Linked DNA regions of Stegostoma tigrinum. The protein of the gene in region 1 interacts with the protein of each later gene in a pairwise test. Links are inferred from orthologs where the notes say so. Each region holds a gene or a part of one and is shown on either strand. Other genes may lie near its edges.

Region 1 (8,063 bases):
CCTTCCTTCGGCTCCTAACTTTATTCTTGAGTCTCTAAAATATCTAGGCACTGGGTTGGTTTACTAACCCTGCCAGTACTGCATGGAAAAAGAGTGCTCACTTTCGCCAATAATATGGTCATTAGTTTATACACAATTTAATCTGTATACTAAATTGAAAGTAGCTGAAGAGGCCCCAAATTACCAAGTTGTTATTCAAGTAAATCTTCAAGTTGATATATGTGATCCTGTTGCACATATAGGGACAATATGGGCTAGAAATGTCTCTGAGACCACCTTCAAATTTGAGCATTTCTATACATGCATCCAAACTGTACTGCCAAAAATGCTAATGTATGAAGCATCCTCTGAGTATCATGTTTGTGACTTTGATGGAATTCTTCTTGTTATTATTATATCAGAAAAAACTGCGTGCACAACCTAGAAGCACATTCTTGCACTCAAGTCAACTTCTTTCCAGTACAGTTACCTATTGGAATAATATTCTCACCAAGCAGTTACATAAAAATATCTCTTAAACTTGATGCAGTTATTTCAAGGAAACATACTTTAAACGTGGTTTAATAGATTATCCCCAGCCATGATTATGTATTTAAGAAAATTGGGTCAGTTCCGCCAATGGGGTAACATCTATACACAAATGTAGACATTTTGAATTGAAACTGGTGTTACATTGATGTCTGAGTTAGGTTAGGTAATAAAGAACTAAGAAAATAAAGAAGTCTTGTTACTAAGGAGTGGAAGCATTAACTGAGGCTCCCCCTTATGCCTTGCAACACAACGGGATTAACTTTAATCCAATTGACAAGGTGGGAAACAAAAGCAGAAATTGCTGGAAAACCTCAGCAGGTCTGGCAGCAACTATGGAGAGAAGACCAGAGTTCGCATTCTGGGTTCAGTGACTTTTCTTCAGACCCAGAATGTTTTTTTTCTAGCAACTTGTTTATTTTTATTGCCAGCATTTGCATTTCTTTTTTGTAAATCAGATGGGAAACTTCTGGGATACTGTTTTTAACACCTTGCACAATATTGTCCTTCATCGACTTAAATAGCATGAAAATTCATGCAGAATAGAAAATTAAGCCTTTGTCTCACTGTAGGGCCATCCTTGGCAATGTCTTATTATGGACCGCATCTCACAATAGGCAACACCTCATCTTGGACAGTGTCTTGCAGTGGGCAGTGTCTCACTATAGTCAGTGTCTTGCCATGGACAATATCATACTATGAAAAATGTCCCATTATGGGCAATGGCTCACTGTGGACTATGGTTCCCTATAGGGAAAGCCTCATCATGGGCAAATGTCTTATTATGGAGAAAGACTTATGATGGGAAAGCCTTAGTGTGGACAATGCCTCACTGGGGTAATGTCTGACAATGGATGATACTTCATCATGGGTAATATTTAGCTCTGAGCAATGTCTTGTCATAGGCATTTTCTCACCATGGACAAGGCCTTATAGGAGTGAATCACTCACTGTGAAAAATCTCTCCCCACTGATGCCCTCATGCCAGGAAGGGAAGTGTAGGGTAATTGGCTTACGGAGCATCAAGGTGTGATCATCTTTCTGGGCATCTTCCTATGTTTGGAGACAATGAGAATAGGAATTCCAGTCTAAGAACTTTGGTTTTGCAAAAATGAATACAAAAAAGAAGCTGTAATGTCTGTGGAAAAGATGGCAAGCATCAAGCAAGCGACTGCAGCAGCACGTGGACTGGTACGAGACCAGTTAGAGCTGAGGAAGAGCCTGTCTAAGGCAGGCTGGCTGCAGAACTGCCAGATGTGAAAAGAAAGTAAGATTGGGAAAGTCGACTGGAGTTCCTAGAACCTGGAAGACAGTCGTTAGTGAGATGGACGTATTAGTTGAATTTAGCGAGGCCTGCTTTTTGGTTTGTGCAAATCTCATGTCAGAGATTTGTTTTATTACACTTCATCGCCAGTGTGGCTGTTTTTACATTTAGCGTATTATACTACTTAGATGAGATGTGAACATATATGATAGCGAGATGGGTCAGCTCAGGTCAAATGCTGGAGTGAACATTTACATAGTTAGTGGAGACATTTTTTTTAAAAAGCCAACGTCTGTAATAATGCAAGAACTAGGTGCGTGAGAAATGGTTTACAGTAATACGCTACACAACTCCTGAAGGCTCAAGCACAAAATAGCTTCTGGTATCGTCTATTTGCCCGTAGTGAGACAAAGTCCATGAGATCATAGGACACACTTAATAAACACAGGACGAGCTTAATTTGAGGTACAATCCCCAGTAAGGATTACGGTTTCATTCTGCTCTGGTTCACATCCTGACACACTCACAGTCTTGCAGTTAAACTATGATAGATACTCTCCGATAATCGAGCGTGTTATTTCAGACAGACTGATTAATGTTATAAACCCGAACATTATAGGGGCAATGCAAGAGTATCCATCGGGGATGTCAAAAGCTGAGGGGGGGGGGCATTTAAATATGTGATTACGTCCACAAAGATCTTACTCACGTCAAGTGTTTCCTTCAGGTTAGACTACTAAAAAGTTAAACTGGTTCCAGGACACGACAACTCTTAGTGACACAGCACACAAGCTCCGAACCGCTACACTCACGAGAAGCGCGCATATACCGCACGCGTTCTTTCCCTGCAGTCTGACATGTTGAAAACAATTTCTCAGAATAAGGTGGCAAATTGTTGCCGCAAAATCGCCCTCACCACAAAGTGCACACACAGAGGCAGCCACAAATCACAAGGGAATTTCGAACAAAAGCTACGGAACACGCTCGCCCGAGTAAACAGTACCTTAGAATTGTCGCCGCATTTAAAGTTGCAGTTTTCTCTTGCCCCCCTCCCCCCTTAAATGTGCAGAGAGACACACCGGAGCGAACACTCCGCAGTCGCGTCGATCAGCAATAATCTTCCAAGCCCTGAGACTTATTGATTTGGCAAACACAAACTTCTCCCGGATCCGCGTCTTGTGTGGTACAGTTGAGAGCAGATTTTGTTTTAAGAAAAGGAACGATCAGATCAGTGCGGGGGCAAAGTATGGGACGTGTCTGGTGCAGTTTATTCACAGGAAATCAGCCTAGTGAAACATGCAAACACTTCCAGTTGTCGTTATTTGTTGAATGGAGGTGAACCGCAACAGGAAAGGGGGTGGCGATGCGGAGCTTTCAGTACAGCCATCCCGGAGACCAGGCGCACCTTCAGCGGGGCGGCAGGGAGAGAGACAGAGAGAGCAGCTATCAGTCTCCGGGACAGTCGCTGGCAAAACCCGCACTGTTAAAGCCCACAAACCGCCGGCCCCCAGTGATCTGAGCTCTCGAAATACATCGTGCCCTGCTTGAAACTGAAAGTAGCAAAGAAGGGCTGGCTGACTATTTTAGGTATCGCAGAAGAGGATTGCATGATTTACCCGCAAATCGTCTACTCTCAGCTGGAAACCAACAGGACTGACTGGAAATTTTTTCTTAAAGCAAATGATAAAGACAAGATTGCTTTGGCACAGCGTAGTTTAGTTTGGAAATGAACGATTGCAAAGTGAATGAATTTCAGACCGCGATTCCACCCTCCCCCCGTCCGCCCCGGTCCTCTACCCTCACAGACAGAAGGTAGAGTTCCAGACCCTCAACTTGAATAGTTCAGAAATACTTAAGCTCAACAGACAACCAGGGCTGTGATACAGCCAACACCCCCCCCCCCCCGCCCCACACACACACACACCCTAGCACGACTATTTGGTTATGTTACGACTTATTCATTTCTCTTCTTTTTTGGCTATTTGTATTGAAAGCCCGAACGATCCGCTGAGTTTTTATTACGAGGGAGAAGCAATAGGGAATAAACGGCAGCTCCACGGTAAAGAGCTGGACATTCATTTTCTTTGCATTCCGGTTTTGAAGTTCTTAAAACCCTCGATGTCATTGAACCCAAATATTGGCTTCTCCACTGAACTCACACCCTTCAGTTGCGCTTTCCAGAATGTGAAAGTATTTTCCTCATCCACTTCCAGGGTGCTGAATCCCATTTCATAGCCTCTCTCTCTGCCTCATGTCCCCTCTGTCTCTGCCTCTAGTATTTCAAAATGACTTCAAGTTCCCCTGTCCCCCGGTCTGATCCACGAAGCACCTCGTAATGACTCAGGACCTTTACAACAGTGATATTATTTCAAATAGTTGGTCCAGGAAGTACATTTGATAACGTGTGATTTATAGATCGAACCCAGTAACTGATGTAAGTTTTTTGCTACAATTACAACGTCCAGGTCAGCTAGCGATAACTGGATCTTGATAAAACAAACATTTTATTATCTGAAATACATGGATTGTGTCTTTGAGGACTGAGAGTTAGCAATGAACAGCGAAATCACAATCAAATTGTCTTTGTCATTTCCGTGTGATTTAGACAAATGTTGCTCACTATTTCACGAATTATGTTCTATGTTCTATGAACAACTTTAGGTCGAGTGGTTCCTGTTATCGAACCCACCTCCTTTGTCTTAATAAGAATAGTTTCTGGTTGAGAAGTCTTATTGGTTCAGGTTGATAAAATTGTATCAGTTTCACGATAACTGCAGTGAACTTTAATATTTATTGTTACAGAAATAAAACGATACATTGATGTACAACAGTTAATCTTCGACGCAGCTGCACCAAGTGAAAATTTATGCTATTTATGCCCCCCGTGTGACAACGCAAGGATTAAAATTATATTTTGATGTGTAAACTTAGCCTATCAAAGAGTGTTTTCTGAAAATATTAGCTATTTAGTCTGAGGATATGTATTGGGTTTAAGTGGCAATGCATACTTTAGACTAACGTTTGTTTTCCCTCAAGGTATCATTTACTTCGCGCGCTGCATTCTACTTTGGATGCAGCATGTTTAAAACAAGAAATAATTGCAGATCTATTCAGCAAGGCGCCAGTCACACAACATTTTATTATTAACCAGGCGGATCCCAACCAGCTGTAGTTTAAATATTGTTTTAGAGTTCAGGTAACATTACCCGACTCAGAACAGTCAATACTCGTTTCAGGTAATATTAGGCGCATTCATCAAGTTAAGTGTACGGAACAGAAATAAAATGACCATTGCTATTTCGAGGCTTGGTTCTTCCAACCCTGCATATAGCTAAAGCTATATTTCTGCTGCTGTCCCAACAGTCACATTGATTTAAAATGTTACTGCCATTTTATGCTGAGGGCTAATCTTACATGGGTCGAATGTGATTTGTTCGGTAATCATATATTAAATTGACAGAAGTGAATTTTTCTCCAAAACTATAGTCTTCATAGATTGTGGTTAATCTCAGCAAGTATGTCCACTTGGTGGCGCACTTCATAACTATCTGGCTATATCTTCCCAAAAGATCAAGTTCAAAAAAACAAATTTGCCTATTTAGGACCTCCGCACCTTGCAGAGGTTGTTTCATTGACTACATTACAGTCACTCAATATCCTTGTTTTAATGTTCTTAACTAAACGAAATGAGCTAACCACATTATTGCTAAAATCAGGCGCAAGGTGAGTGAACTACAGAAATATATTGAATTAGTACAAAGCAAGTGCCTTAATAAATAGGATATAGCATTTTAGATTTGACTATCCGAGGTTAAAATAAACTCTAAATTGACACCTTTACCAGTATTGGATTTAATTTTCAGACAGTTAATGAAGTAGAATTTCGTGTTTTTGTCACTTGCTTAATCAAAAGTTATCAGGCTGGCAAATTTTGCATGATTTTCACCCAAATAACAAGTTACTCAAAGAAAATAGTGCAAAATATTCTGGTGTTGCAAATGTGAGTTGCATCTGTAAATAAATTGGCCCTAGTGTTAGCAATTATTCCTGTCTGTTCAAAGACCCCTCAGCTTTTTTTTCAAAATGGAGTGTATGAATGCAGTATACCTTTAAGCACATCTGATTGTGTCAGATTGTTTTCTTAAACAAAAGTGAAATTGTAAACATATTCAAGGGCAATCTTTTGAGTTACTATAAACATTTAAACTTGATCATAGGCACTACCTTGATGGCATCAAGTATTACTGAAGCAGTACAGTCGGACTTGCAAAAGTTATGTGTTTTGCAAACAACATGTTATACATTTGTAATGGTTTCAGAACAAAATTGGGGCCTCACCAGATATTTATTGCAATAATTACTTCCATGACTTCTGGCTACCCAAAAGCACTTTAGACCAATGAATTACTATGAGAAAATAGTAGCTGTTGTACTTTAGGAAACCATGTGCCACAGTAAGGTGCCACAAAAGAAAATATCATAAGTGGTCACATCATTTGTTTTTCTTGCTGCATGAGAAATAAATGCTGGCCAGCATACTAGGATAACTCCCCTGATCTTCTTCCACCCAATATGATCCAAAATCATAGATTAGATTCCAACCTTTTACCAAATGATAAACATTTTGTGTTTCCCTAGAGAAAATACTTACAAACTGCTAAAAGTGAGTGATTAGAATTTGTTACTATGTCTATTGTTTTCTGTATTTTTCTAACACTATCTTTAAGAATTAGGATTGCATTACCTCTCTAAATGCTGTCCAGAGATTCAAATCTCACTTTTTAAGTCCCAGACTGAATAAAGAAGTGCTCTTATTTCATAGTTTTCCATTCTATTTATTCCAGGTGTTATCAAAATAAAACATCTCATCATTTTATAGGGTAAAAATCTACATTGTAAAAGCTTTAATAAAAATATCATTGTTGAAAATCATTTTGTATGTCCTATCTTAATTTTCTTGTCTTTGTTAATATTCTACCAATAAATCACCACATTTATTGGCTTGCTATTGTCCTTTCCTTTGTGCACTCACTTTTCTCCTGTCCCATATTTTCCCACTTTTCTACTAGTTTTACTCTAAGAGTAGAATAATTAAGTGTAACCCAACTGGATTTCTCTCACAATTTCTTCCTGCCTTTGATACTGTCTGAAATCCACTCAGTGTTTGCTTATTGTGCTTGAAATTAAAAAAGAGTATTATACGACCAATAAATATTAATTCATATAAACTATTTGAACTGCAACCTATTGTTTATTTATTGATGCAATTAAAGGAAAAGATCTGTTGGAGATACCTTGTTCCTAAATAAGATGAACTTTAAGAATGTGCTGTTTTTCCATGAACAGCCTTTGTTTTGTTTTAAATCATACCATATGAGTTCTCAAAACAATTTCTTTGAAGGTTAATATGTGACCTTATGTTTAATTGTGTGTGACTGCTTTTTAGGTCATTTTATCACAAGAATGTTTCCTGTGAATCTTAACAAAGATGCATACTCACTATACTATTATTTAGCAAACTATTGTTTTCACTTCAACTTCAGAAGTCCAGACTGATTTGCAATATTTCAATCAATTTCATGAAGCAACTTAGAACACATATTGGCCTGGGTTTTATGGTTACTAGCAGAAGTGGTGCCCATCATTAACCCAGAAGAAAGCTACCAAAACAATCGAGTGATATTTGTACTGTGAAGTTCCCTTATCATCATGGCAGTTTTAATCCGGTGCTATGTAACGAGATCTTTGTGTGTTCGGTAGTACTGATGTTAGCAACCGCAAAATGTGGACACCACTGATTAGGCCAGAATTCATTGTAAATCCGTATGAAGATGGTAGTGAACTGCCTTCTTGAATTACTGTAGGTACACCCACAGCATATTTGACCTGGCAACAGTGAAAGAACAAAAACATAGTTCTAAGTCAATATACTGTGTTACTTTAAGAGGAATGTTCCCATGCATCTGCTGTTCCTGTTCTGACATGTAGAAGTCACAGACTTGGAAGATGCTGTTAGTGGACCTGAGCTGCAGCATCTCGATATATCATACAGCTTGGGTGTGGTGTGAAAAGGTGTTTGGATTAATATTTTAGCAACAATAAACAACAGCATATAATAATAAAGCACTTTTAAATGAATTAAAATACCACAAGGCTCCTGACAGGAAGAGTACAAGGCATTTGACACAGAACCGCATAAGAACACATCCAGAGAAATGCAGAATCACTGACAGCAACATCTGAATCTCTGTTATTCCAATCTTGTGTCCAT
Region 2 (6,924 bases), on another chromosome or scaffold:
GACCCTTATCTACAGAAAATACACTTGCATAAGAGGCAGTCCAGAGAAGGTTCACCAAACTGATACCAGTGATGGAGGGAAGACTTGTGAGGACAGGTTGAGGAGGTTGGGCCTGTGTTCATTGGAGTTTGGAAGAATAAGAGGTCACCTTTAGAAAAGATACGAGTCTCTTTGGAGATTTAACAGGATAGATGTGGAAAGGTTGCTTCCCCTTGCGCGAGTGTCTCGAACCACAAGATAATCTCAGAATAGGGGATCACTTTTTACAAAGATGATGAGGAATTCTGGCTTTCAGAGGGCAGTTAACTTGTGGAACTATTTACTGCAGAGACTGGGTTTTTATGTAAGTTCAAAGCTGAGACAGATAGATTTTTAATCAATAAGGGAATCAAGGGTTATGGGGAAAAGGCATGAGGGTGGAGTTGAAGATTATTGGATTAACCATAATCTCACTGAATGGCAATAGCAGGCTCTTTGGGCTGAAATGCCCACCTCTGCTCCTACTCTTACGCTCACTACAAATCAAAATGATCAAAATCCAAGAGTTAGACAGAGGGCAAAACAATGGCAAATTGAATTTTAATACAAGGTTTTGCAGAGGAATACACATCTATGGATGCAAAAAATGTGCTTCCTGTTTCAATTAACCGATTTGCGATGCAAAGTAATGCCAACAGCATGGCTGCAATTCCTGCACCATCTGAGGTTAGGATGAAACATAGAAACATAGAAGATAGGAACAGGAGGAGGCCATTTGACCCTTCAAGCCTGCTCTACCATTCTTCACAATCATAGTTGATCATCCAACTCGATAGCCTAATCCTGCTTTCTCCCCAAAACCTTTGATCCTGTTCACCCCAAGGGCGACATCTAGTTGCCTCTTGAATACATTCAATGTTTGACATCAACTGCTTCCTGTGGTAATGAATTCCTCAGGTTCGCCACTTGTTGAGTAGAGAAATATCTTTTCATCTCTGTCCTAAGAAGTCTACTGCAAGTCCTTTTACTGTGACCCCTGGTTCTGGGCACACCCACCATCGGGAACATCCTCCCTGCATCTACCCTCTTCAGTCGTTTCAGAACTTTATAGTCTCTATGAGATCCCCCTCATTCATCCGAACTCCAGCAAAAACAATCCCAACCTAGTGAAAACTCACTCCAACCCTTCTTAAGAAAGGTCCAGACCCGGAACGTCAGCTTTCCTGCTCCTCTGATGCTGCCTTACCTGCTGTGTTCATCAGCTCTACATTTTGTTATCCCAACCTAGTCAATCTCTCCACATACGTCAGACCCGCCATCCCTGGAATCAGCCTGATAAACCTATGCTGCACTCCTTCGAAAGTAAGAGCATCCTTCCTCAGAAAAGTAGACAAAACTGAACACAATATTCTCATCAAGGCCCTGTATAACTGTACCACGCATCGCTGCTCCTGTACTCAATGGTCCCTCCACAAAACATAGAACATAACAGTGCAGTACAGGGCCTTCGGCCCTCAATGTTGCACCGACCTGTGAAACCAATCTGAAACCCACCTAACCTACACTATTCCATTATCATCCATATGTTTATCCAATGACCATTTAAATACCCTTAAAAGTTGGCGAGTCTACTACTGTTGCAAGCAGGGCATTCCACATCCTTACTACTCTCTGAGTAAAGAACCTACCTCTGACATCTGTCCTATTTCTATCACCCCTCAATTAAAAGCTACGTCCCCTCGTGCTAGCCATCACCATCCGAGGAAAAAGGCTCTCACTGTCCACCCCATCTAATCCTCTGATCATCTGGTATGCCTCTATTAAGTCGCCTCTTAATCTTCTTCTCTCTAACGAAAACAGACTCAAGTCCCTCAACCTTTCCTCATAAGACCTTCTCTCCATACCAGGTAAAAGCCTGGTAAATCTCCTCTGCACCTTTTCCAAAGTTTCCACATCCTTCCTATAATGCGGCAACCAGAACTGTACGCAATATTCCAAATGTGGCTGCACCAGAGTTTTGTACAGCTCATGAAACTCAATCCCTCTGCCAATAACACATAACACACCATATGCCTTCTTAACAACCCTATCAACCTGGGTGGCAACCTTCGGGGATCTATGCACATGGACGCCGAGGTCTCTCTGCTCATCCCCATACCAAGAATCTTACCATTAGCCCACTACTCTGTATTCCTGTTACTCCTTCCAAAGTGAATCACCTCACACTTCTCCGCATTAAACTCCATTTGCCACCTCTCAGCCCAGCCCTGCAGCTTATCTATGTCCCTCTGTAACCTGCAACATCCTTCCACACTATCCACAACTCCAGTGACTTTAGTGTCATCCACAAATTTACTAACCCATCCTCTATGCCCTCATCCAGGTCATTTATAAAAATGACAAAAAGCAGTGGCCCCAAAACAGATCCTTGCAGTACACCACTAGTGACTGAACTCCAGGATGACATTTCCCATCAACCATCCCGCTGTCTTCCTACAGCTAGCCAATTTCTGATCCAAACCGCTAAATCATCCTCAATTCCATGCTTCTGTAATTTCTGCAATAGCCCACCATGGGGAACCTTATCAAATGCTTTACTGAAATCCATAAACACCACATCAAACGCTTTACCCTCATCCACCTGTTTCGTCACCTTCTCAAAGAACTCAATAAGATTTGTGAGGCACGACCTACCCTTCACAAAACCATGTTGACTATCCCTAATCAAATTATTCCTTTCTAGACGAATATAAATCCTATCTCTTATAATCCTTTCCAACACTTTACCCACAACCAAAGTAAGGCTCACTGGTCGAAAATCACCAGGATTGTCTCTACTCCCCTTCTTGAACAATGGGACATTTGCTATCTTCCAGTCTTCTGGCACTATTCCTGTAGACAATGACGAGTTAAAGATCAAAGCCAAAAAGGCTCTGCAATCTCCTCCCCAGCTTCCCAGAGAATCCTAGGATAAGTCTCTCTCCTCACCAGCTGTGTAGTGACTCTCGGCTGAAGCTACCAGCGGCCGTCTCTCTCTCTCTCTCTAATGAGAAATTAATGAAAAAATGAAAAATCCCGCAGGACTATGGTGACTTTACTCACTTTAACCCAATGCCCCTGTTCACTCAGCGAAGGTGCCAGCTCTCTAGAATTGCCCCTGGTGCATTCAGCAATCAGAGGCTCATCTCCAGGGCTCTGATGTGGCCAGAACCCCCTCCCTGCTGTCCAGAGATGATACTCACAACGGAATAAATCCAGTCCAGCGTTCGCTTACTCACACGGATCATGGTCCTTGGCTATGGCAACCCGACAAAGCCGATCACTGGAGGCTGCACTCACAAATATCAAAATAAAAGGCCAAGGAGATTTAAAAAGCAAACCAAAGCAAAGCACTCCGGGAAAGACTCGGATCGAACCCGATACGTTAACCCTGCTATTCTCTCTCTCTCTCCACAGATGATGGGTTTCTTCTCCACCTTTTTTTATAATTTGTGATCTAAAATAGCACCACACCGCCTTCTACCACTTTTTGGGTTGGTGCAGTAAATCCCCGTGGCTGAGATATCCTGATTCAGCGAAACCAAAATTCTTCGGCATCGCTGCGTCGGGCAGAAACGACTTCACACCGCTCTCTCAGCCGGTCCTCCGAGGGTCGCGGAGTGGGTCCTCCACTTTCCCGGCGGCCAAAGCGTGACGGTGGGTGGTGCATGTGAAGGCGGAGGCCAGTTGTGGGTCTTCTGACGTCTCGGGCCGGGTAGTCCTCCAGCGTCCCGGCGGCCAGTGCGACGCCGTCACTTACTGCGCTTGTGTGATGGTGTCACCTCCTCACAGGCAGTGGCTTGTCCCCAGACTGAGCCTAAGGGGTAGGGAGTGGGGTGGGTGGGGGCTTTAAGTGGGAATAATCCGAGCAAATGTTCACGGTCGGATCCAGGAGGAAGAGGAGAAGAAGGGGGGCGCGGGATGCTATAGCATTTAAGGAAAAGGAAAAGAGTTGCAGTTACAATACTGTATAATTCGAGTGAAGTGTGTGGAGGATCGGGCAGTGAGCGGCTGCAGCAGGTAAGAGAGATCCTGGGAGGGGTAAACTGCCTGGGTACTGGGGCCAGGCGTAGGCATTCTGGTCTGTCACCTCAGTGAGCACCCCGTGGAACAATTTGTGGAGCTACGAGATGTCAAGGCAGCTAAAATAAAACAATTCGAGGCCAGAGACTTTTAAACCAGAACCTGAGTCAGTGGCATCAATTCTGAGGGAAGGTCGCTGGACTCAAAACATTAACCCTGATTTCTCTGCACGGATGCTGCCAGACCTGCTGAGTTTTTCCAGCAGTTTCTCTTATTGTTTTGGTGGTATTCTTGGTATTCCTTCCGTGGAGGGAGGTTCCAGCTCAATCATGAAATTAAAGAGCCAGACAATTCAGGAAGCAACTCTTCACACAAAAGGTGGTAGAAGTGTGGAATCCTCTCCTTCAAAGCACAATCCTTACATAAGTCTGTGAGCATTATAGATTTTTGCTGGAAGAGTTAGGGGTTTGAGGTGTGGCTGATTGGGGTTCTGCCATCATCTTACTGATGAGGGAAAATATCAGAAGTCACATGATAGCATGTTATAGTCCAACAGATTTATTTGAAATCACGAGCTTTTGAAGTGCTTTCGTAGTCACCTGATGAAGGAGTAGCATGTCAAAAAGATAACTTGGTGTGAAGCTGGATGAATACAGCAGGCCAAGCAGCATCAGAGGAGCAGGAAAGTTTGACGTTTCGGGTCAGGACCCTTCTTCTCTGTAACACTTCAAAAGCTTGTGATTTCAAATAAGCCTGTTGGACAGTAACCTGGTGTCATGTAATGTCTGATTTTGTCCACCCCAGTCCAACACCAGTACCTTCGCATGATGACAGATAAACCAGCCTCAGAGGGCAAAGTATTCTGCCCATTCCTGTATTAGAACGTCTACAAAAGTGTCAGTTACTTTACACCAGCTTTTCTCTCTGTTTAAGCAGAAATCCACTTTTTAGCCATGTAAAGATAACCAGATGTTTGCAATAAAAGATTAGAAATGGCCTGATGTAACCACTGAACAAACCGTTCTTTTGGTTCTGAAATCTGCTTTTGACAGCATGAAAAACTTGTATGAAATACATCTGGGCAAAGTTCTGGGATAGTGAACTCTCATTCTCTAATTTGGCATTTCACTGAGATGTTACAAGGATCGCTGGTGCATGTAAAGGTGGTACCACCTTGTCGTAATTTGAGGTTCCATTTGAGACAGAATAAAGTGAACTACAATCTCTGATCAGAGATAATGGGAACTGCACATGCTGGAGAGCCCAAGATAACAGTGTGAAGCTGGATGAACACAGAAGGCCGAGCAGCGTCTCAGGAGCACAAAAGCTGATGTCTCGGGCCTAGACCCTTCATCAGATGAAGGGTCTAGGCCCGAAACGTCAGCTTTTGTGCTCCTGCGATGCTGCTTGGTCTGCTGTGTTCATCCAGCTTCACACTTTGTTATCTCGAACTATGGTCTCTTTTTATTTCATTCATGGGACGTAGGCATCACTGGCTATGGCTCAGGTTCTGGTTTTAAAAGTCTCTGTCCTCGAATTGTTTTATTTTTGCTGCCTTGTCACCTTGTAGCTCTACAAATTGTAGGCATCACTGGCTGGCCAGTGTTTATTGCTGATTCCTGGAGTGACTTGCTAGGCCATCTCAAAGTGGCATTTCAGGGTCAGTCACATTTCTGTGGATCTGGAGTCACATGTAGGCAGACATTGAATTCAGATTCCACCATCTGCTGTAGCAGATATGAACCTGGATCCCCAAAACATTAATTGAGTTTCTGGATTAATAGTCTAGCAATAATACCCCGAGACCATTAGGATTCTGCATGCAACACCTGTGCCTGTCAATGAGAGCTTCTAAAGCATGAGAAAATACTAACAGACATCAGCATCCACGCATTTGTTTCAAAAATATATTCATTCATAAATTATCTTTAAATAAGCACAACAAGAATTTTGACATGCACCAGAATTTCAATCCAGTTGCAACAAAAAGGTATTTTATAATCGTGAGAGGAAACTATTTACATTTTCATTAAGGTTACAAGGCTATCTTGAAACGTAACATATCTCCCCTCATTATATTTTGGCAGAAGGACTGCCAAGTAAGACTGTAGTCTGTGCCTTGGCAGCAGCTGCCCCAAGCTGTTGTGCATTCCTCAGAATGGAGCCTGGACCTTCGCATGTTCCAGTCTGCAGCGCTCAGTCGAGGTAAACTGTTTGCACTGGAAGACCAACAAGTTTCAGGCAGACTAAAGAGTGTCTGTCATTGAGTCCATGGCCCTCCAAGTGCAGTCACTGTTTGTTTTGGTGTGTGACTTAGAGACTAGCCTATAGATCACAGAGGCCTGTGTCACAGAGCTGCCCAGGATGAAACTTGACAAAAACCACTGCATCTCTCTCCTGACCTTAATTGCAAAGGCACATTCCAGAAAGAGATGTGTGATAGCCACCACAGCAGCATGCGGTTGTGGCCGGAGACTGGCTATGCATGAAGGATCTGACAGCTGATACCCTTTTCATTGCTAGCCAGGCTAGGTCTTGGTGCTTGTTGGAAAGTTCTGGTGACAAGATGACTTCAGTCTTCCATATACAAATGGAGTGAGTGCTGATCCCTTTTATTGATATTGTGACTGCACTGTATATCAGTGGATCTCTGTTTCTGTTTTGGCCAGTTCTTTCCTGCACTATAGCAGGACGAGATACTTTTGTGCATCAAGATTTTGTTTTCAAGAAGGATTATGTCGGTACACCCATTGATTGAATTAGAATCCTGAAAAAAATGGAGAGACAGATGTCCTTGCTTTTTAAATGCAGGCACTGTGTTCAGAAGGGAAATGTTACCCATCAAAAGATAATTTCACATTAAGTAAATGTTTTTCAAGTCTT
Region 3 (8,059 bases), on another chromosome or scaffold:
TCAAATGAGGGAGCAGCCCTATAGTCTGGTAAGACTATAGCAATTTTACCTTTACCTTATCTTCAGACCAAACAGGAGGTCCCATCAAATTCCAGGCGTGCTGGGCACAGAACGACCACTGGTCAACAATATCAATCCTTCCAAATCCATCAACTTCCATCCCACCCCATATCTTCCCCTCCAAGCCCCCAGGCCATTCATCACCACGGCCTTACCTAATGTGGTTGGTTTGGTCAGCTCATCGTAGATGTCATAAAATGGCAGCCTCCTCATTTTGACGTCTGGATGCACTGGGGGGGACAGATGTTGTAAATCTAATTCTCGCTTGGGAGTGAGCATGCTGAGGGGCGACAACAGTGGGGACACCAAGGCCGAGGCAGCAGAGGTACTGTAGTGAAGCTGTGGATTGCTGCCAAGAGCCAGAGATGCACTGGCTGAAGGGTGAGCCACGGCGTTCTGGACAGATAGTAAAGGCAACTCCATGGTGGTGTGGCTCTTGCGAGGGAAGCGACGCCTGTAGAGCTCTTTAATTTTCATGTGCACAGCTGGACTGCAGCCAGACTTCAGCATGTACAGCACTTTGGTCAACAGCTCGTGTTTACGGCCTGTCTTGTTCCGGCCAGAGAATCCCAGCAGCACTTGTAGTTCCGACACTCTAAAGCTCATCACCATGTGCTGCAAAACAGAGAATCTGTTAGAAACAAAAACAAGTTGCTAGAAAAGCTCAGCAAGTCTGGCAGCAGCTGTGTAGAGAAATCAGAATTAACATTTTGGATCTATTGACCCTTCCTCAGAATCTGTTAGAGTGGGGAAAAGGTAGGGCAGAGAGGCAGGGTGGAGAATGCTGAAAAGGTGGGGGCTGCAGGGCCAGGGGATAGTTTTGCATCAGTGTTGAAAAGTGGGGGCATCAAGCAAGAGATGAATTTATCAGTGTGAGCAACGAGATGCCAGGTAAATGGTTTGGTGGGTGGGAACAATGTGGATGTTGCTGCGGCTTTTGGTAATACAGAATTGGCTGGCCAACAGAAGACAGCGAGTGGTAGTAGAAGGAAAATATTCTGCCTGGAAGTCAGTGGTGAGTGGGGTTCCACAGGGCTCTGTCCTTGGGCCTCTACTGTTTGTAATTTTTATTAATGACTTGGATGAGGGGATTGAAGGATGGGTCAGCAAGTTTGCAGACGACACAAAGGTCGGAGGTGTCGTTGACAGTGTAGAGGGCTGTTGTAGGCTGCAGCGGGACATTGACAGGATGCAGAGATGGGCTGAGAGGTGGCAGATGGAGTTCAACCTGGATAAATGCGAGGTGATGCATTTTGGAAGGTCGAATTTGAAAGCAGAGTACAGGATTAAGGATAGGATTCTTGGCAGCGTGGAGGAACAGAGGGATCTTGGTGTGCAGATACATAGATCCCTTAAAATGGCCACCCAAGTGGACAGGGTTGTTAAGAAAGCATATGGTGTTTTGGCTTTCATTAACAGGGAGATTGAGTTTGAGTCGTGAGATCTTGTTGCAGCTCTATAAAACTTTGGTTAGACCGCACTTGGAATACTGCGTCCAGTTCTGGTCGCCGTATTATAGGAAAGATGTGGATGCTTTGGAGAGGGTTCAGAGGAGGTTTACCAGGATGCTGCCTGGACTGGAGGGCTTATCTTATGAAGAGAGGTTGACTGAGCTCAGTCTCTTTTCATTGGAGAAAAGGAGGAGGAGAGGGGACCTAATTGAGGTATACAAGATAATGAGAGGCATAGATAGAGTTGATAGCCAGAGACTATTTCCCAGGGCAGAAATGGCTAGCACGAGGGGTCATAGTTTTAAGCTGGTTGGTGGAAAGTATAGAGGGGATGTCAGAGGCAGGTTCTTTACGCAGAGAGTTGTGAGAGCATGGAATGCGTTGCCGGCAGCAGTTGTGGAAGCAAGGTCATTGGGGTCGTTTAAGAGACTGCTGGACCTGTATATGGTCACAGAAATTTGAGGGTGCATACATGAGGATCAATGGTCGGCACAACATTGTGGGCTGAAGGGCCTGTTCTGTGCTGTACTGTTCTATGTTCTAAGTGTGACTGTTGGGGTGAGGGAATGAAAGCTGGAAGTGGTGGAAAGCAGCTGCAAACAGGAAGTATGGAGGAGTGGTTGGTGACGGTGTTGGAAAAGGGATGGCATATCAACAGACCTGGGGAAAGGGATGTAGTTGAGAATAAGAGTGTTTATGGAAGTTTTGGGGGCTTGGTGGGGGGTGGCGGGGGGTCGTGCGGAAGATGCCAGATTGTCAGGATGGGAGGACTGCCAGCAGGGCAGTGGGGGCATGTCAGCATGGGGAGAGGGGGTTGGTGAGGGGTAGGGGGTCAGCAGAGAGGATGACAGGTCAGTGTGTGGGGGGGGTGGAAGAGGTGTGTCAGTTTGGAGGGGGGTGATGGTGTGTCAGTGTGGGGTAGGGGTGTCCGTGGTGGGGGGGGGAGGTGAAGTTGTGTCAGTGTGAGGGTGTATCGATATGATGGTTGGGAAGGGGGTCGGTAGGGGATCAGAAGGGCGAATGGCAGGTCGCTGTGGCGGGGGAGCGGAGGGTCATTGGGAAGGATGGGGTCAGAGTGGGGGCTGTCATCAGTAGGATAAGTGTCAGTGAGGAGGGGTGTCGTGCGCTTGTTTTGGTGCGGGAGGGAGTGTCAGTGAATTTAAGAGGGAACCAGTAGTATGTGTGGGGCATGATTTAGGGTGAGGTTTGGGGTGGGGGCCTGCTCTGTTACGGAGAGCCCTCCAGGCGCGCCCACGACGGTCGTTCCCCCGACGCGCGCCTCCGCGCTCGGGCCAGTTCGCTGTGGTTAGTGGGGGGAATGCTTTCCTTCTGCTCGATCAACATCGACAGCTGGCTCCACCCGGTGCCACCACTGCAGAGAACAACCCCGTCCCTCCCGCTCGCTCTCCCTCTCCCTCCCGAGACCTCCTAATACTGACCCGCAATTCCCCGTCATCCGCCATCTCCGGGCATCGCCTCGACCCCGGGCCCACCTCTCCCCGCTGACATCATCACGCAGGCGACGCAATATGGGCGTGGTCTGGATGAACGGGCGAGACAGCGGTGCGTGTTAATAAGAGGGAGGGGCCTGCGGGGTGCGCCAGTTGGAGGGAGGGCGGGTGGAGCTGGCCGTGGAGAATGGGGCAAATTGTGATCAGAGATAAAGGGAACTGCAGATGCTGGAGAATCCAAGATAACAAAGTGTGGAGCTGGATGAACACAGCAGGCCAAGCAGCATCTCAGGAGCACAAAAGCTGACGTTTTGGGCCGAGACCCTTCATCAACCCTCTCTGATGAAGGGTCTTGGCCCGAAACGTCAACTTTTGTGCTCCTGAGATGCTGCTTGGCCCGCTGTGTTCATCCAGCTTCAACACTTTGTCAGCATGGGGTAAACTTGGGTTGTCGAACTTTTGAGGGCGTGGTCCATGTAGCGGGCGTGGCTGTGGTGTGGGGGGCGGGTCTTTGGGTAGCGAGGTGTGGTCCTGCCGCGGGGAGAGGAGCCGAGTGAAGGGAGCTGTTGGAGAAGGCGGGGCCACTGAGAGGGCGGGGCCTGTTCTCCAGTGCCGTTGGGCGCGCGAGTTTCTTTTGGGCGGGAAGGAGGTGTAAAACTGGAATGAAAGAAAGAAAAAAAATTATCAGCACAGAGAAAGTGAGAATTATCAGAAAATTGGAGGAGCGGGTTTGGGGGTTCGCTGCACTCCCTCGAAAACAGGACATACTTCCTCAGAAAAGGAGCCCAAAACTGCACATAATATAAAGTAGAGGGCATAGGTTTAAGGTGAGAGGGATAAAATATAAAAATGACCGGAGAGATAAATTTTTCACGCAGAGGGTCATGCATGTATGGAACGAGCAGCTAGAGGAAGTGATAGGTGTGGGTACAATTACAACATTACTACAAAATTACAATTACTACAAAACATCTGGATGGGTACATGAATAGGACGGGATTTGGGGATATGGGACAGATACTGGCAAATGGGACTAGGCCGGATTGGAATGTCTGATCAGCGTGGATGGGTTAAACGGAAGGGTCTGTTTCCATGCTGTATGACTGAGAAGGTTAGAATACAAGAGCAGAGGCATATGGCTTAGACTGTATAAAGCTCTGGTCAGACCGCAACTGAAATATTGTAATGGAGTAATATAGGATGGAAACAGACTCTTTGGTCCAACTAATCCATGTCAAACAGGTTTCACAAACTGAACTAAATCATTATATTCCTGTATCTATCTAAATATGTTTTAAATGCTGTGACAGTCCCTGCCTCTGTCACTTCCTGCGGTGGTTTGTTCTGTTTTGGGTCCCAAGTTTCAGGAAGGATATGCTGGCATTGGAGATAATCCAGAGGAAGTTTACAAGAATGATTCTAGGGATGAAGGGCTCTACGTCTAGCTTAGAAGGATGAGATGGGATCTGTTTGAAACTTGTAGAATACTGAGAGACCTGATTAAAGTGGACATGGAGATGTTCCCACTAGTAGGAGAGACTAGGACCCAAGAGCAAGCCTCAGAGTATAGCCCTTTAGAATTGAGATGAAGGGAAATTTTTCCAACTAGAGTGTGGCGAATCTGTGGAACTGATTGCTGCAGAAGGCTCTGGAGGCCAAGTCATTGATTGTATGTAAGACAGAGAGGTTCTTAATTAGCAAGGAAATTGAGAGTTATGGGGAGAAGGCAGGAGAATGAAATTGAGAAACATATCAGCTATGATCAAACGATGAAGCAGACTTGATGGGCCACATGGCCTAAGTTTTCTCCTATACCTTATGGTCTAAGGCCGAGAGAGAAATTTATAATTTCCTTAGAGAATCAAAGGAGATAAGGCAGGAAGTGATCTGGTGGTACTAGACTGTTAATCCTGATTAGACTGATAATCAGATTAGCTATGATCTTATTGAATTGTGGAGCAGGCGGATTGGGCAGAATGGCCTACCTCTGCTCCCATACATTATAGTCTTAAATTCTTAGTTCTTGGAAGGGAGTTCCATTTTAGTGAGTTGTCGCCGATTCCATGGCTGGCAGCCCTGCAGTTCTAGTAGAGAACATTGGGACCTGTGACTATTGCTGGGATTACAGGCTGTCGAACCACATCAATTTTGATAACACAATAGGGATCCAGGTTCAACAGGCTGATCTCATACTCTGCCACTCCCTTTGCCCCATGTGGTCATATAAAATCCAGACCATGGGTTCTGGACAATGGAGATAAGTTAATGGGCATGAACAAAGCGAGACAATGACCAAACTAGGTATGGAAGGGGCAAAGCTGAAAGAAAAGGTTACCAGAGAGATTATATTTTAATACTGTCTGAGGAATGAACTTCCAGAGGAAGTATTGGATGTGGGTACAGTTCAAGATATTTGGTTAAGGAAGCTGTAGAGCGCGGGAGCCGTGGTTTACGAAGGAAATGGAATCTCTGGTCAAGAGGAAGAAGAAGGCTTATGTTAGGATGAGATGTGAAGGCTCAGTTAGGGTGCTTGAGGGTTACAAGGTAGCCAAGAAAGACCTAAAGAGAGCGCTCAGAAGAACCAGGAGAAGACATGAGAAGTTGTTGGCGGATAGGATCAGGGTAAACCCTAAGGCTTTCTATAGGTATTGAAGGAATAAAAGAATGACGAGACTAAGATTAGGTCCAAACAAGGATAGTAGTGGGAAGTTGTGTGTGGAGTCAGAGGAGATAGGGAAAGCACTAAATGAATATTTTTCGACAGTATTCACTCTAGAAAACAACAATGTTGTTGAGGAGAATACTGAGACACAGGCTACTAGACTAGGTGGGATTGAGGTTCACAAGGAAGAGGCATTAGAAATCCTACAGAGGGTGAAGATAGATAAGTCCCTTGGGCTGGATGGTATTTATCCTAGGATCCCCTGGGAAGCCAGGGAGGAGATTGCCGAGCCTTTGACATTGATCTTTAACTCGTCATTGTCTACAGGAATAGTGCCAGATGACTGGAGGATAGCAAATGTGGTTCCCCTGTTCGAGAAGGGGAGTAGAGACAACCCTGGTAATTATAGACCAGTGAGCCTTACCTCAGTTGTTGGTAAAGTGTTGGAAAAGGTTATAAGAGATGGGATTTATAATCATCTAGAAAAGAATAAATTGATTAGGGATAGTCAGCACGATTTTGTGAAGGGTAGGTCGTGCCTCACAAACCTTATTGAGTTCTTTGAGAAGGTGACCAAACAGGTAGATGAGAGTAAACCGGTTGATGTGGTGTATATGGATTTCAGCAAGGCGTTCGATAAGGTTCCCCACAGTAGGCTATCATACAAAATGCGGAGGAATGGGATTGTGGGAGATATAGCAGTTTGGATCAGAAATTGGCTTGCTGAAAGAAGACAGAGGGTGGTAGTTGAAGGGAAATGTTCATCCTGAAGACCAGTTACTAGTGGTGTACCGCAAGGGTCGATGTTAGGTCCACTGCTGTTCGTCATTTTTATAAATGACCTGGATGAGGGTGTAGAAGGATGGGTTAGTAAGTTTGCAGACGACACTTAAGGTTGGTGGAACATAGAACATACAACATTACAGCACAGCACAGGCCCTTCGGCCCTCGATGTTGTGCCGACCTGTCATACCAATCTCAAGCCCATCTAACCTACACTATTCCATGTACGTCCATATGCTTATCCAATGACGACTTAAATGTACCTAAAGTTGGCGAATCTACTACCGTTGCAGGCAAAGCCTCCATTCCCTTACTACTCTGAGTAAAGAAACTACCTCTGACATCTGAACTATATCTTTCACCCCTCAATTTAAAGCTATGCCCCCTCGTGCTCACTGTCACCATCCCAGGTAAAAGGCTCTCCCTATCCACCCTATCTAACCCTCTGATTATTTTATATGTTTCAATTAAGTCACCTCTGAACCTTCTTCTCTCTAATGAAAACAGCCTCAAGTCCCTCAGCCTTTCCTCACAACACCTTCCCTCCATACCAGGCAACATCCTAGTAAATTTCCTCTGCACCCTTTCCAAAGCTTGCACATCCTTCTTATAATGTGGTGACCAGAACTGTACGCAATACTCCAAGTGCGGCCGCACCAGAGTTTTGTACAGCTGCAGCATAAATTCTTGGTTCCGGAACTTGATCCCTCTATTAATAAAAGCTAAAACACTGTATGTCTTCTTAACAGCCCTGTCAACCTGGGTGGCAACTTTCAAGGATCTGTGTACATGGACACCAAGATCTCTCTGCACATCTACACTACCAAGAATCTTACGATTAGCCCAGTACTTTGCCTTCCAGTTACTCCTACCTAAGTGCATCACCTCACATTTGTCCGCATTAATCTCCATTTGCCACCTCTCAGACCAGCTCTGCAGCTTATCTATGTCTCTCTGTAACCTACAGCATCCTTCTTCACTATCCACAACTCCACTGACCTTAGTGTCATCTGCAAATTTACTAACCCATCCTTCTACGCCCTCATCCAGGTCATTTATAAAAATGACAAACAGCAGTGGACCCAACATCGACCCTTGCGGTACACCACTAGTAACTGGTCTCCAGGATGAACATTTCCCATCAACTACCACCCTCTGTCTTCTTTCAGCAAGCCAATTTCTGATCCAAACTGCTATATCTCCCACAATTCCATTCCTCCGCATTTTGTACAATAGCCTATTGTGGGGAACCTTATCGAACGCCTTGCTGAAATCCATATACACCACATCAACCAGTTTACTCTCATCTACCTGTTTGGTCACCTTCTGAAAGAGCTCAATAAGGTTTGTGAGGCACGACCTTCCCTTCACAAAACCGTGCTGACTATCCCTAATCAATTTATTCTTTTCTAGATGATTATAAATCCTACCCCTTATAACCTTTACCAACAACTGAGGTAAGGCTCACTGGTCTATAATTACCAGGGTTGTCTCTACTCCCCTTCTCGAACAGGGGAACCACATTTGCTATCCTCCAGTCATCTGGCACTATTCCTGTAGACAATGACGAGTTAAAGATCAATGTCAAAGCCTCGGCAATCTCCTCCCTGGCTTCCCAGAGGATCCGAGGATAAATCCCATCCGGCCCGGGG

Evidence for each region.
Region 2: the proteins of DNA-binding protein SATB1-like (region 1) and E3 ubiquitin-protein ligase Topors-like interact in a two-hybrid assay, tested with the Homo sapiens proteins (2 studies listed by BioGRID and IntAct). The link is inferred for Stegostoma tigrinum from reciprocal best matches to the Homo sapiens genes SATB1 and TOPORS.
Region 3: the proteins of DNA-binding protein SATB1-like (region 1) and E3 SUMO-protein ligase PIAS3-like interact in a two-hybrid assay, tested with the Homo sapiens proteins (2 studies listed by BioGRID and IntAct). The link is inferred for Stegostoma tigrinum from reciprocal best matches to the Homo sapiens genes SATB1 and PIAS3.

Annotation. Positions count from the first base shown.
Region 1 is NC_081355.1:105,008,784-105,016,846, forward strand, and holds the start of DNA-binding protein SATB1-like, read right to left. Parts: upstream 3,094-8,063; 5' UTR 2,796-3,093; intron 1-2,795. UniProt on the Homo sapiens protein: Crucial silencing factor contributing to the initiation of X inactivation mediated by Xist RNA that occurs during embryogenesis and in lymphoma.
Region 2 is NC_081356.1:30,233,777-30,240,700, reverse strand, and holds the start of E3 ubiquitin-protein ligase Topors-like, read left to right. Parts: upstream 1-3,877; 5' UTR 3,878-4,038; intron 4,039-6,924. UniProt on the Homo sapiens protein: Functions as an E3 ubiquitin-protein ligase and as an E3 SUMO1-protein ligase. Probable tumor suppressor involved in cell growth, cell proliferation and apoptosis that regulates p53/TP53 stability through ubiquitin-dependent degradation.
Region 3 is NC_081400.1:478,398-486,456, reverse strand, and holds the start of E3 SUMO-protein ligase PIAS3-like, read right to left. Parts: upstream 3,060-8,059; 5' UTR 2,975-3,059; coding exon of another isoform or gene 2,968-2,974; coding exon 2,951-2,967; intron 692-2,950; coding exon 216-691; intron 1-215. UniProt on the Homo sapiens protein: Functions as an E3-type small ubiquitin-like modifier (SUMO) ligase, stabilizing the interaction between UBE2I and the substrate, and as a SUMO-tethering factor.